2 linked regions of the Mytilus edulis genome follow. The protein of the gene in region 2 interacts with the protein of the main gene of each other region in a pairwise test. Links are inferred from orthologs where the notes say so. Each region holds a gene or a part of one and is shown on either strand. Other genes may lie near its edges. The genes, in order: abl interactor 1-like and regulator of MON1-CCZ1 complex-like.

Region 1 (7,424 bases), on a different chromosome or scaffold from region 2:
TTTTCAAAGCACAGTTCAGAACACCATCTGACTGTAACATATTGTCATCTGCAGTATAATAATTAACTACCGCCTTGATGTTGCCTGTCTCAATACATCCAACGATTTGTATAATGATAACAAGTCCTTGATAAATACGATATCACAAACTAGTTAAAACATTTACTTAATTTTATCATCGGTACCAGTAAGGACATCAATAGTAAATATAGCTCAACATGTAGACTTCTTATACGTTCAGGTATTTCACATCCAATATTTTATGGAAATATTCTTTTATAAAGCACAAAAATGTCAGTATTCACCTCAGAAGATAACAAAACCTTTAAATAGACTTATTAAGAAGGGGTATAGTTACGATACTGTTCTCAGGTCATTAAAGATTGCATATTTTGGCGTTGATATTGATTCACTTATGCTGAGACTACTATAACAACTGTGAACTATATAAATGTTCCGGACCATATGAATATTTGGACCATACGCGTATGGTCATGACCATATGGGTATATACTCATATGGTGTGACCATACGCGTATGGTCGCGGTATATTTATGCTTACCTCTTTATATAACCCTTCTAGTTGTCACGTCACTAAAAAGACACTACTAAAGGTATTTTTTTCATTAAAAATTAGTAATAACAAGATTAACAAAATAAAATGAGCAGTTTCACACAGCAAATTTCATCACTAAACTATAGTAAACACACATTTTTTTTTCATTACCGATATGCTATTACGAGTGAATGACAAAATGTCGACACTAGTTCATTTTTTAAAGTTGTCTGGTGATATGATGTACTTCAGTCATGTTGCGATATTGAAGATCTAGTAGAGCTTTTTCACCGTAGACACATCGGAATGACCCCGGACCCAAGAAAAGCTATGGTGCCGTGTGGACGTAAATGTCACCCTACGCATCCATGCAAGAATACAATTAGTGATGAAAACTAACTTTGGCATCAATATTTAATGTTATTTGAATTGTAAATAATACAATTGCATGTAGCAATCATTGTTATTTTATAAAGTTTTCTCGTGCATATTATTGAAAAATATACCTATATTGTCCTAATACTCATATGGTCCGGCCCGTTTATAACAAAACGAGTATATACTCATATGGTCCGACCATACGCGTACGGTCGGACCATATGAGTATACGCATATGGTCATGACCATACGCGTATGGTCCAAATACTCATATGGTCCGGAATATAAACACATTTATTATTTTAAACCAGTTGTTGGCATGACACGGGTTATGTTCTTCTCATATATGTTATGAATTGATAATTCTTGTGTACAATTTGGAGTTTAGTATGGTGTTCATTATCACTGAACCAGTATATATTTGTTTAGGGGCCAGCTGAAGGACGCCTCCGGGTGCGAGAATTTCTCGTTGCATTGCAGACCTGTTGGTGACCTTCTGCTGTTGTCAGCTATATGGTCGGGCTGTTGTCTCTTTGGCACATTCCCCATTTCCATTCTCAATTTTATATTTTATTCTTTCTTAGTTACGTAACCCTTATAGGGGCATAAACTGACAATTCATGTTCATCGATTTGAGTGACTCAAATTCTTATATTTGATCACAGGCACTCGTCTCAGAATTTGTTTTCCCTACCGTATATTCCTTTATATAACACAATTAAGTACTTAACTTCCGATTTAGAAAATTGCCGGACGGTGACGAAATTCTGTTATATACCGATTTCTCGGCTGTTCCGTTTTAATGGGTTTACACTAGTAATTTTTGGGGCCCTTTATAGCTTGCTGTTCGGTGTGAGCCCAGGCTCCGTGTTGAAGACCTTACATTGACCTATAATTAATGGTTTACTTTTATAAAGTATGTCTTGGATGGAGAGTTGTCACTCAAATCTTCCTATATCTATCAAACCCATGTAATAATAATTCAATTGCAAGCGAACCATTTATCAGCGATGTTTCTTTACTTATTATAACAAAATTGAACTGTTATCAATGATTGAATAAAAAAATCGTTTATTTTTTTCATATCTTGTACAGGTATTTTTTTCCACCAATCAATATACATTGCGCCCAAAATTTGAGCTACACAATCAAAAAAAGTAAAAACACAAAAATACTGAACTCCGAGGAAAATTCAAAAAGGAAAATCAAAAATCAAAAGGCAAAATCAAAAGTCCAAACACATCAAACGAATGGATAACAACTGTCATATTCCTGACTTGGTACAGGCATTTTCTAATGTAGAAAATGGTGGATTGAACCTGGTTTTATAGCTAGCTAAACCTCTCACTTGTATGACAGTCGCATCAAATTCCATTACATTGTCAACGATGCATGACTGACAAAATAAAGCCCAGTAAATGATTATTAGAATGATTAGAGTGATTAAAGTACATTTAAACAAAAATGTCGGCACATGTATACGATGCTAGATTGAGAACTGGTCAGCCAGAATATTTCAGTTGATACAAATGTATTTACAAAGATTAGTTGGAAACTGATTGAGTCTTAATATACGGAAGTGATTATATAGTTTGAATTTATTATAGTGCAATTTTTATATGGATAAAACACATACACCATTTTGATAAAATTTGGGAAATTTTCTTTTTGGGGGATGTTATATGTATCTTTATTGTATGGTCGTAGCTATGGAAATAGATGTGGTTTTTTATGCTCTTAAGCAAATATAACTTTAGCGGCACGGGGAGGCAAGTATATTTTCCCCCATGTACGTAATACTAATTTAAACAAAGTAATATGTTGGATAATCAACATTGTCATTGACACATCGATCATTCAGTAATTTTGGAAGAAACTGTGACTTGGAGAAAAAAGTAAAATCACAAAAAAAATGAACTTCAAGGAAAATTCAAAAAGGAAAGTCCCCAATCAAATGGTAAAATCAAAAGTTCAAACACATCAAACGAATTGAAAACAACTGTCATATTCCTGACTTGGTACAGGCATTTTCTTATGTAGAAAATGGGGGATTGAACCTGGTTTTATAGCTAGCTAAACTATAAATTATAATTCTTAATATATCATACATGTCCCAGCGAACCGAAACGTGTGTATACTGTATACGCTTAATGTGTCCCCTTACCCCAGTTCCCTAGACTTATGCTTATGGTAGACAACTCCTGGTCGAGTTTTTTTTATTTTTCAAACTACAAAAAAATGATATTTTCTAGAAGTTTTTTTTTTTTTTAAATTGCATATAAAAGTTTAGCGACTCAATTGAGGTTTCAATAAGGCCTTACGTAAAGCTTAATTAAGCAGCATTCATATAATAGATTCCTCTAAATAAATAATGTATTGTTACTGCCGGTTTCTAAAAGTTATTGTGTGAGTTGCTTAGGATCAAGTTTTCTTTTTTAGCACAATATAGGAATTTAGAAAAAAAAGTCAGAAAAAACTACTAAAAGCACTGACTTGCAATATTGATGGAAAAGGCCGTATGTCAGTTTTACTAGGGGGATTAAATGAAAATTGTGAAATATTATGAGGGATCAAGAAATTTTATATGTTTGAATTCAAAATGACCAGCCCCCCTCCCAGGTTAAAAATGATAAGTCCCTTTAGAAATTGATTTAATTGTTTATACCTTTTTTTAAATTAATATATGTTTGTTTTTTATTTAAAGTTTGACTGGTTTACACATAAATTTTACTGTTTCCTATCTCAGTTTCCTGGTAAGATTTGTTCACAGAATGGGATAATATTAGAAGTCATAGGCGGATTTTTTTTTTTGGGGGGGGGGGGCAGGGGGGAAAAATTTGGTTGCTTATATAGGGAATCACTGAAGCGTTACTGGAGCGGGCCCCCTCTTAGGTCAGTCAGTGGGCCCCACTTATGAAAATTTCTGGATCCGCCACTGGAAGTTTCAATTTATTTCTTTTAAACAGATGAATCCAATATTTAATCATATTCATAAATTATTAACATAAAAAACGTGTAGGAAGTGGACCTAGAGTCTTTTGATGCAATATCTGATTTTTATTTAATTCTTACTCCAAGTACAAATTTACACAGCTTAACAATATCATCAAGACCGGAGACGAATATTTTAGGTGGCGAATCTGTCTCTTAGCGATACGCGCCGGTAATAATATATTGGCGTACGCCAAAGTACACTGAAACAAGTTAACCTCAACATAATAAACAGGAAGTAGTAAAAATGGCAGAAGTAACGCAGCTTCTTGATCAAGAAATCCCAGAAGGTCGCCAACATCTACAAGAAAGTTATATAAATCTTGACAAAGTTGCACAGTATTGTAGGGACAATTATCTAAAGGTAGTCCTTTATTTCTTCAAAAACGCCAGTTGCCTGCGAACAACACAGGCTCACAGCTTCCTATTCTCACTCAGTCACAGTCCTCATGAATAGCATAATTGTTAATTCACTCTTGAAGGGGTTCTCATTTTGGGGTCTGGTCCAGGATCCCTCTTATTGTTAAGTGAGAATCCTGTAATCTCAAATGTACTTCTTGTTGCCAAAATAGCGCATGTAATTTCTTGTGTCCCGCAGGACTTCATTTCCCGTTTTCCGCTTAATGATTCTACTTTCAATCGTCACACGATCCAATGACCAATCCCACCTCACGCTTAGACCCCAATGAGACTCACTTAAAATTGGTAAGTACTACAATGTATAAAATGGAAGAGATTGAAAATAAAAACAGAAAAACAGACATGTGCAATTTCTAAATTAACATCAGTCACCACTCCTGTCATTCATTGTTTTATATAATCCCTGAATGAAATATTTTTCACCTAATAAAATGCTAAAACCTTACACATTTGCCAAATAGACCTTTATCATGTTTATTACTATTTGAAAATCTGCTCTGCTTGACCCAAGAATCTGTGCCTCTTGAATATACACCTTATCGCTATTTGTCCGCCATTGCTGGAAATCACACAGGTTCCCGTAAAATTTTGACGTCATAAAACTAAATATCTGACGCCACAATGGAAAAGTGATTGTTGTTGACGTCAAAAGTTCAAGCGGCCGGGTCAGCCGGGATTAGCGATAAGGTGTATTGACATCATACATTTTACAACAATCAATTTACCATTGTCAAATGATTGTGGGGGTCTCATTGGGGGTTCTGATCCCGGATCCGGCTTTCTGTTGTGTCAGATTCCTGTATCCCGTTTACACTATGTATGTAAGCAATTCACATTTTTTTTGTAATTTCCCGTGTCCCGCTAGACTCCATTTCCTGTTTTCACAGCACAAGAATTTGACTTCCATGTGTCACGCTTACAAAAAATCGGCAATCCCGCGTCACGCTTAGACCCCAATGAGACCCACATTGTGGGGTCTGATATTTTCTATTATCAGTGTTCTAGCTAGAAAGTTTGAACAGGGCGCAACGCTCGCCCTTTTTTGTTGACGCCCTAGCTTTTTTCTGTGGTTTCTCTGGCGCCCTGCCGTTTTTATGGCGAAAATCTCGGCATTTCTGCCTTTAAAATACCGACAAATTCGTAATTCTTTCATAAACAGGAAGTTCACCTAGCTGTGTAAACTGTACAATTAAGTGACCCATTAAGTGCATGGCTTCACTTGTCAGCTTTGATGTCAAGTACATTGTTAATTAACAACAATTACCTTAGCTTTTATAGGTCATAAATAATTTTTTAGAACTCAAAAATGTTTGACAAAAAAAAGATTGTTACTTCCCCTTTTTTGTCACCTTTCACAATATTCTTCTTACAGTCAGGGGACTTACTTAAACAAGTGATTTTCTAAATCACTGATTCAAGTAACATTATTTCCATAAAGGTTGGAAGTTAGAGTTTTCTTTCTTTAATAATCGCCTATTTAAGTAGTACAAATTAATCACTAGAAGAAGTGATTTAATATTAGTGTAGCTTTAAATATAGAATACTAATGATCCAGGGACTAATTATGTTTCTAAACAGTAAAACTTATCAGAACCAACATCTGTGTTGTCTAGGATGACCAGGTCATTTCAGGTGATGACCTTGTACTGAATCTAGGATAATGACATAAAAATCACTTGTTTAAGTATCAGACCTGAATTTCCTTCCCAAAAATCACTTCTTTAAGTATCATTCTTTTAATAACCTCCACTAATTTCAACACCCCCGAACAGTGAAATTTTTATCGCGAACAGTAGCATTTTATTACACAATCTGAAAGATGAAACCTTGAACTTCACAGGAAAAATACCCTCACTGCTGTGAAAAATCTTTTAAGAAAGTATCAGTTCATTATGTAAAGCCATTATTATAGCATTTTTTCAACTAAAGTAGAATTTTCAGGTAAATGAAAGCATCAAAGGCATAAAACTTACTAATTAAAAGATGTTACTTAAACCTATGTGTTTAAAATTTTGAAAAAACTACAAAATCCCAATTTGTGACAAAACCTCGAATTTGCTACTCAAATAAGTGATTTAAAAATCACTTATTTGAGTAAGTCCCCTGACTGTCTTAAGTTTTATGTTCTTTTTAAAAAAAAAGATTGAATTAATAACAAATTGAATGCAAATGCATTTTAAAGTATAACTTTTAATTAAGTTTACCTAAAAAACCTGAATAATAAATATTTTTAAAATTATTTTTCACATCTTCACTTCCATTGATTGATTTATGAAGTGCATTAAAAAATAATTTGAAATAAGAGTGTTTTCCAATTGCCTTGACTGTCAACAGTTGCTCTTGGCATTGTACATTATGCCCTTTAAACAAAAGTAAATGCAACAAAATATTTGAGGTGATTGAGTGAGTAAATGTACATTGTAGATGATACCCTGATATTAAAAGTTAAACATAAAACATGGTGCCATTATTTAAAATTTATTACTCAATTTTTACTGAAAATTGATAATACCATAGTGCCTTAGTTATATACTAATTAATTATAACACATAAATAATTGCCCTTTTTAATGACATGTACTCGTTAAATTGCCCTTTTTAAATCCTGGCTAGAACACTGATTATGACATCAAAATTTTCAGTGATGTCCATGCCAGTAAGGGCTGAAAAATAGATAAAGATGTACATGATATAGGCCACTTCACAGTTAAAAATGTATTTCAGCCATATTGAATAGGGGCAGATTGTTTTGGATAGAAGTGATAGAAGTGGAAATAGTATGAAAGTATGGAAATACTATATAGATAATTATAAGAAAATGTGATATGAGTGCCAATGAGACAACTAACCTTTCAAGTCACAATTTGCAAAAGAAAAACCCTTAGACAGTGGCAGATCGAGATTTTCATAAGAGGGGGGGGCTTCAGTCTTGCTTCAGTGATTCACTATAAAATCAACCAAGTTTTCCCCTTGAAAAGGAGGAGGCTCAGGCCCCCTGGATCTGGCTATGCTATAGGTCAAAGTACAGTCTTCAACATGGAACCTTGGCTCACATGGAACAGCAAGCTATATAATATAAT
Region 2 (7,945 bases):
ACTTGTGATATAATTTTAAAGAGATTTATACACTTAAACACAAGTTATTGGCTGAAAATTACAAAAATGCTTATTTGGGCCCCTTTTTTGGCCCCTCACTTATTGAAACCCTCCTTGGAGCAAGAACCCCAAACTCAATTCCAGCCTTTCCTTTGTAGTAAGAAACCTTGTAGTATAATTTCAGAGAGATTCATACCCTTCAACACAAGCTATTGTCTGTAAACTACAAAAATGATTCTTTTTGGGCCCCTTATTCCTAAATATTCAGGGATATAAACTCCAAACTGACACCAAGCCTTCCCTTCTTTATATGGAACCTTGTGGTACAATGTCAGAGAGATCCATACAGTTAAACATGTTATTACCCCAAAACTTCAAAAATGCTTGTTTTTGGCCAATAATTCCTAGACTGTTTGCCCCATAACCCTTAAAATATATCCCAACCTTCTAATTAATGGTATGAACATTGTGGTACAATTTCAGGGTAATTGAAATACTTATACACAACTTATTGACCTGAAACTAGATAAATGTATGTTTTGGGCCCCTAATTCCTAAACCGATGGGACCATAACCCTAAAGATCAATCCCAACCTTCCCTTTGAGGTTACAAACATTGTGGTAAAATTTTATTGATTTCTATTTACTTATACTAAAGTTATTATCCGGAAACCATCCGTCTTTGGATGACGCTGACGACGACGTGATACCAATATACGACCGCAAAAATATAAAAATTAGAAAATAGGGAGGCCAAAATCAGGCCTTATCCTACCTTGTCCTTATCTGATTAGATAAGTTGGTCATTCTTGAAGTTATATTTCTCAAATTGCTCGTCATGTTCAGAACAAGACAAAAATGTTAGTGACTTTCAAAATAAAGAACAGTAAGTTAACATGGTTAAGCACTTATCTTCTGGTATATTGCAGGATAAAGTTTTGCTTCATGTATGTATTGGATAGCAAATTCAGACAAGTGATGATCTTATCAGACAATAATTTGAATAACAATACATGTATATAAAATTAGCAAATTAAATCATAATTTCAAATTTCTTTCAAATATAATGTACGGTACAAATGTACAACCTGAAAGTAAGAGAGTTGCTATCGTTTGGTCCTTTAACCACCACCCCCATAGCTCCACAGGAACGTACTGCAAATACCTACAACATACATAAATCACTCAATGGAAAAAAATCAATTAACCCCCTTTCCCTTTTTTTTTGTGAGATATAAACAAAATGTTTTAATTCATAGTGTAATATAAATTCTATGTTCTTTTGCCTCTGATCAATCATTATTTTGCATGTAAAAAATTAAAGGTTATCTCTTTGAAGAAGACCATGTGTAATCCTACAAATAGGTATTCAATTAATATTTGTTCCAGCTTTTCAAGTTATGTCCAGGCTTTTTATTTCCTTGTAAGTGGTCACATATAAACAAATTCAGACAGAGTTATCTATTACATGTACTAGTATACAAATAGACATTCAACCTGACTCATCTTTCCAAATTATGTTATGGCTTTTTTTAATTCTTAGCAAGAGGTCATCCTGTTGGTTTTTGATGTGAGCAGTTTTTATTACGATATGTGTTTTAGTTTTACAACATATGGTCAAGAATCTACATAGATAAAGGGGTGGTTTGTGTGTATGCAACACTGTTTCACCCCACCACATTAGAGCCTGTACAAAGTAAGGCTATCTGAACCATGTGTTATTGTTGTTGTTTTGTCTTTGAAATCTATTTATTCTGAGGAATTTGAGTTAGGTGAAGGAGTTTGTTCTGTAGTTAGAAAAAAAGATTGAATACACAATGTTGAATGTCAGGGATTTCTGTTATCCATTTCATGTACATTGTATTAAGTTATTTGACATATAAATAAAGGGTATTCTTTCTGGCTTCTGTTGTCCTTGTAAAACATTCATAATATTTACTAATATCATCTGTTGACAATGGTTGATGGCAAAGACAACATAACTAAAGTAATATTTTTTTCCACAATACAGTCCCTTTTGCACTCATACATGTACAACATCTTCTTATATCCATACTTAGTACAAGTATAAATAAAAGGATTGATAGATTGATTGTTGTTTGCTTTAGTCCAGTAGCAAATATTTCACGAATGATCAGAATGAGAACAAATCATCAATTAATATGGTAGGTTCTGTAAAGTGAAAGGTTGAGGTATCAATGTAGTCCTCCAGAAAAGTAAGCTTACAATCGCCTTCATGATGTTCATGTGGCATCACAGCAAAAAAAAAATAGCCTTCAGACGTCAAAATATACCTAAACACAATTTGTCCGCAATTACTGGACATCACAAAGGTTACTGTAAAATTCTGACATCACAATAGTGTCACAGATTCCAAAATAGCAATTTATATACACCAATATCAAGTTTTTTAGGACCTGGGTCAATCTGTGTATATGATATATGACATCATTGAACAATGGATTCTTATCGAGACCTTATAACATAAATGAACTTTCTAACAGGAAATATACGCAAAAGAGCACAAATTTAGAATTCTTCTATCATTTAAACTATTAACACATTACCATGTTTACGTAAAATAAGCAAATCCCAACCTGACAGGATAATGGCGGTTTGGCCATGATCAACAAACTGAATATTTTGCCATGACTTCGGTGCGACTAAATGGAAAGTTTGAAATAAAAACATGATTTCAATGACAAAGGGTAGACAAGACTGTCATTGGTTGAAACAACACTGAATCAAGGTACCAGACACATATACAAATGTGTACACAAAAATATGTCTCTGAAGCCTTGCAGACAAGTGTTGAAATGAAGGGATTCAAATGAAGTTACAAAGTCATTTTCTAAGCTATGACAAATCAGAGTGTGTGGCCTTCAAAGACAACATTCTAGTTGTACCACAGGCACTAGACGTTCTGTCAATAGCATGAAAATATTGGCAATGGGAAGAAAATAGTGTCCATATATATAATATATATATATGGACACTATTTTCTTCCCATTGCCAATATTTTCATGCTATTGACAGAACGTCTAGTGCCTGTGGTTGTACATTCACCTGTCTATTAGCGTCGTCATAGAATACGTTTGTGACTTTATCAACTGGGTCGAATCGAATAGGGTTTTTACAAAGTTCGATGTAAAAACACCCATCGTTTTGTTGTGCCATTTTTGCATCTCTTCTGTTTTCACTGTCTTCACCAAAAGTCAAGAGAGATTCCGAAAGTCTATTACAGGTGCGTTCGAACAGACATCTCTATCCTTTATTTAAATAGTACTGTTTATCATACACATTTTATTTGTGTTTTCTTTGAACAATTTAAAGTAAGGTTAATTAAGATGAGAATAATAAGATTTGGGCGGGCAGGGGAGAGAAGAAGGATTTTGTAAATGCATATCCTGACAATTAAATAGATAATAATAAAATAACATGGTATAGGACACAATACAAATGAATATATTCTATCATATAAATAACTTCCTAATTCTTACTCTATCTGCCTGTTATGATCTGTTATGGTTCTTAGCTTTTATGTGTGAGTGGAGTATCATAACTAAGACTACTATAACGTTATAGTAATCTCAGATCATAATAATTTCAGAATGCTAACTTAAGTTAGAGTGGAATAAAAAAGTCATAAAGTGACATAACTCTAGAAAGGCACCCTGCCAAAAAAAGTGTCCCCTATCATTTTATGTTTCTTATTTGCAATAGAAAAAAAACCTATTGACACAGAGATATGTTGAAATACAATTTAAAACAAGAATGTGTCCCAAGTACACGGATGCCCCATCTGCACTATCATTTTCTATGTTCAGTCAACCGTGAAAATGGGATGAAATCTCTAATTTGGCATTAAAATTAGAAAGAACATGTTTACTAAGTTTCAAGTTGATTGGATTTCAACTTCATCAAAAACTACCTCGACCAAAATGTTTAACCTGAAGCAGGACAGACGAACAAACGAACAAATGGATGCAAAGACCAGAAAACATAATGCCCATAAATGGGTCATAAAAAAGACAATCTGATTAACAGCACATACAACATTGCTTATCATTTCAAAGTCACTGGACCATGACAATATATCTGATAGTAATACAATATATAGAAAATAGCATTGATCTACAAAAAGCTCATTTAAAACCGATTAACCCAAAAAATCTTAACAATAATTGAGGCTGCCGCTAAAAACGCTGAAAAAGGCAACACCTACATATCAGCAGTTTTCATTGCAGGCTAGACAAAACTTGACAAAAAGTTAGGTGGAAGGGGGCAATCACTTTGGTTTCCCTAAATATATTCGCAACTATAATTAACTCTTGATGATTAAGAGCATGTCATATTGTACAGCTACTTGTCTATTGTTTAAGAAAGTATGTTGCATCCTAAGGAATTTTTTACTAAAGCTTCTTCCTAATCATGAGTAAAATTTAGATTTTTTAACATTTAGGTAGTTTGCATTTTGATAAATGGACTATTTATCTTTATGGCTGATAACAGCAATAAAGGGCTGCGCTTTAGCGCATGATTACGCCCGTTGTTTGAAAGACGACGGGCGTATAAAAATGGCAAAAAAGACTACAATGACAATGAGGAGCAGCAAGAAGATAACAGGAAAAGTGAAGATGGTGAAAGTGACTCTACTGAAAGTTATGATCTAAATGAGGAAGTAGGTGATGAAAGTAAGGATTTCATTGATGATGAAGATAAAGATTTCATTGATGATGAGGAGGCCTCTTCTGAGAATGAAAATGAGGATTTTCTGATGATGAGGACAGTGATTACAGTGAAGAAGACACTGATGATTAAACCTAGTTCAGCTTTTCAATATTTAGCATAAAAAACAAATATCATTAACATTGGCATATAACATAGAAGTCTTCAATGCAATATAAGGAAAGTGATATATGATTATGGGTTTTAGTAATTCTATGGCTGATTTACTAATTTTATAGTAGTTTGAAAGAAGGTAATTTTCTTTGGGTATATTGCTCATAGTTAGATTCTGTTGAACACAGTAAGGAATCCATACTAAATTATACAAAGATGTATGCAAAAGTTGTTCAAATGGTGCTTAATATGGTGGATAATGATTATTACCTTTTATTGTTTAGAATATTCACAAGATGATCATATTGATAAATGTTTAGGAGACTTGATTTCCTTATTTTTTTCATAAAATGACACCCTTTAACATTTAAGGAATATTAAGTCACATGTTAGGATTTTCATGTTGTCACTTGTTCACTTATTATGTGCTATTGTAGACTAGTTATGTTTTATAACATTTTTTATTGCGCTCAACCCTTCCACCGAAACCGAACTCTATAAAAAAGCTGCAATGCTAAGGTATCATTTGTGATTTCAATTGCAACCAATTTTAACAAGAGTAAAACATCCTATATGCAAAAACAGTATTTGATTTTTATCCATAGCTTAGATAGTAAAAATGTTATCATAAAATGATATATGCCTCAGGGAACAGTTAGTATCTCAGGGACTGCTAATGTGCTTTCATCCTTGCAACCATTCAATAATAGTACAAACGTATGACATTCATGGAATCTATTTTTTACAAGAAATTTAATGTTTTAAATTGAACTAAAGATTTTACAAATTTTATGTTTTCATCAGATTTTATTAAGTATTATTTGTTACATCAATAGATATAAACAATTCACCAAAGTTTCATGGACATTGGTGAAAGCCTTTTTGAGTTATTGTCTGAAGTGTTAAAAAATTCCCCTTTTTTTTATGAATAAAGCCCCATAAATCCAAAACTTAAAATCTGAAATTTATAAAAATTGAAAGGGAGCTTACATCAATAGATATAAACAATTCACCAAAGTTTCATAGACATTGGTGAAAGCCTTTTTGAGTTATTGTCCGAAGTGTTGAAAATCCCCCCTTTTTTATGAATAAAGCCCCATAAATCCAAAACTTAAAATCTGAAATTAAAAAAAAACGAAAGGGAGCTTACGTCAATAGATATAAACAATTCACTTAAGTTTCATGAAAATTGGTGAAAGTGTTTTTGAGTTATTGTCTGAAGTGTGGACGACGGACGGACAACGGTATACCATAATACGTCCCGTCTAAAAGACGGGCGTACAAAAACAGAAATAACCTTTTATTCTGATTTAAACATGTTGAAAGATAAAAAAATATTGCAAACCACTTTTTTCCATTTTAAATACTTCTCATTCACACATAAAAACTGTATAATGTATATGGTTATGCGAAACATACATTTGAAAACTCAGAACTTAAGTCTGTTTTCAATTATCCAAAACGATTATTTAAACCAACATATTCTCAATTTGCCATACATGTATTAAGTACAACTTCATTGATTGTTACCAAACAAACATGAATACGTATTCCACCTTTTACCTTAATTTTTTTAATAGAATAATGTAGTGTAGATCTGAAGTTCTGAACATAATAAGCCCCCCCCCCTTTTTTTTTTATGAATAAAGCCCCATAAATCCAAAACTTAAAATCTGAAATTTATAAAAATTGAAAGGGAGCTTACATCAATAGATATAAACAATTCACCAAAGTTTCATAGACATTGGTGAAAGCCTTTTTGAGTTATTGTCCGAAGTGTTGAAAATCCCCCCTTTTTATGAATAAAGCCCCATAAATCCAAAACTTAAAATCTGAAATTAAAAAAAAACGAAAGGGAGCTTACGTCAATAGATATAAACAATTCACTTAAGTTTCATGAAAATTGGTGAAAGTGTTTTTGAGTTATTGTCTGAAGTGTGGACGACGGACGGACAACGGTATACCATAATACGTCCCGTCTAAAAGACGGGCGTACAAAAACAGAAATAACCTTTTATTCTGATTTAAACATGTTGAAAGATAAAAAAATATTGCAAACCACTTTTTTCCATTTTAAATACTTCTCATTCACACATAAAAACTGTATAATGTATATGGTTATGCGAAACATACATTTGAAAACTCAGAACTTAAGTCTGTTTTCAATTATCCAAAACGATTATTTAAACCAACATATTCTCAATTTGCCATACATGTATTAAGTACAACTTCATTGATTGTTACCAAACAAACATGAATACGTATTCCACCTTTTACCTTAATTTTTTTAATAGAATAATGTAGTGTAGATCTGAAGTTCTGAACATAATAAGCCCCCCCCTTTTTTTTTATGAATAAAGCCCCATAAATCCAAAACTTAAAATCTGAAATTTATAAAAATTGAAAGGGAGCTTACATCAATAGATATAAACAATTCACCAAAGTTTCATAGACATTGGTGAAAGCCTTTTTGAGTTATTGTCCGAAGTGTTGAAAATCCCCCCTTTTTTATGAATAAAGCCCCATAAATCCAAAACTTAAAATCTGAAATTAAAAAAAAACGAAAGGGAGCTTACGTCAATAGATATAAACAATTCACTTAAGTTTCATGAAAATTGGTGAAAGTGTTTTTGAGTTATTGTCTGAAGTGTGGACGACGGACGGACAACGGTATACCATAATACGTCCCGTCTAAAAGACGGGCGTACAAAAACAGAAATAACCTTTTATTCTGATTTAAACATGTTGAAAGATAAAAAAATATTGCAAACCACTTTTTTCCATTTTAAATACTTCTCATTCACACATAAAAACTGTATAATGTATATGGTTATGCGAAACATACATTTGAAAACTCAGAACTTAAGTCTGTTTTCAATTATCCAAAACGATTATTTAAACCAACATATTCTCAATTTGCCATACATGTATTAAGTACAACTTCATTGATTGTTACCAAACAAACATGAATACGTATTCCACCTTTTACCTTAATTTTTTTAATAGAATAATGTAGTGTAGATCTGAAGTTCTGAACATAATAAGCTAGAAACAAATCTCAAGTATACACAGCCAAACTTATAATCTTTATCTGAACAGTTTG

The links.
Region 1: the proteins of regulator of MON1-CCZ1 complex-like (region 2) and abl interactor 1-like interact in a two-hybrid assay, tested with the Caenorhabditis elegans proteins (2 studies listed by BioGRID). The link is inferred for Mytilus edulis from reciprocal best matches to the Caenorhabditis elegans genes Y50D4A.4 and abi-1.

What each region holds. Positions count from the first base shown.
Region 1 is NC_092345.1:44,932,459-44,939,882, reverse strand, and holds the start of abl interactor 1-like, read left to right. Parts: upstream 1-4,134; 5' UTR 4,135-4,172; coding exon 4,173-4,289; intron 4,290-7,424.
Region 2 is NC_092344.1:110,107,709-110,115,653, reverse strand, and holds the start of regulator of MON1-CCZ1 complex-like, read right to left. Parts: upstream 3,220-7,945; 5' UTR 3,178-3,219; coding exon 3,067-3,177; intron 1,166-3,066; coding exon 1,089-1,165; intron 1-1,088.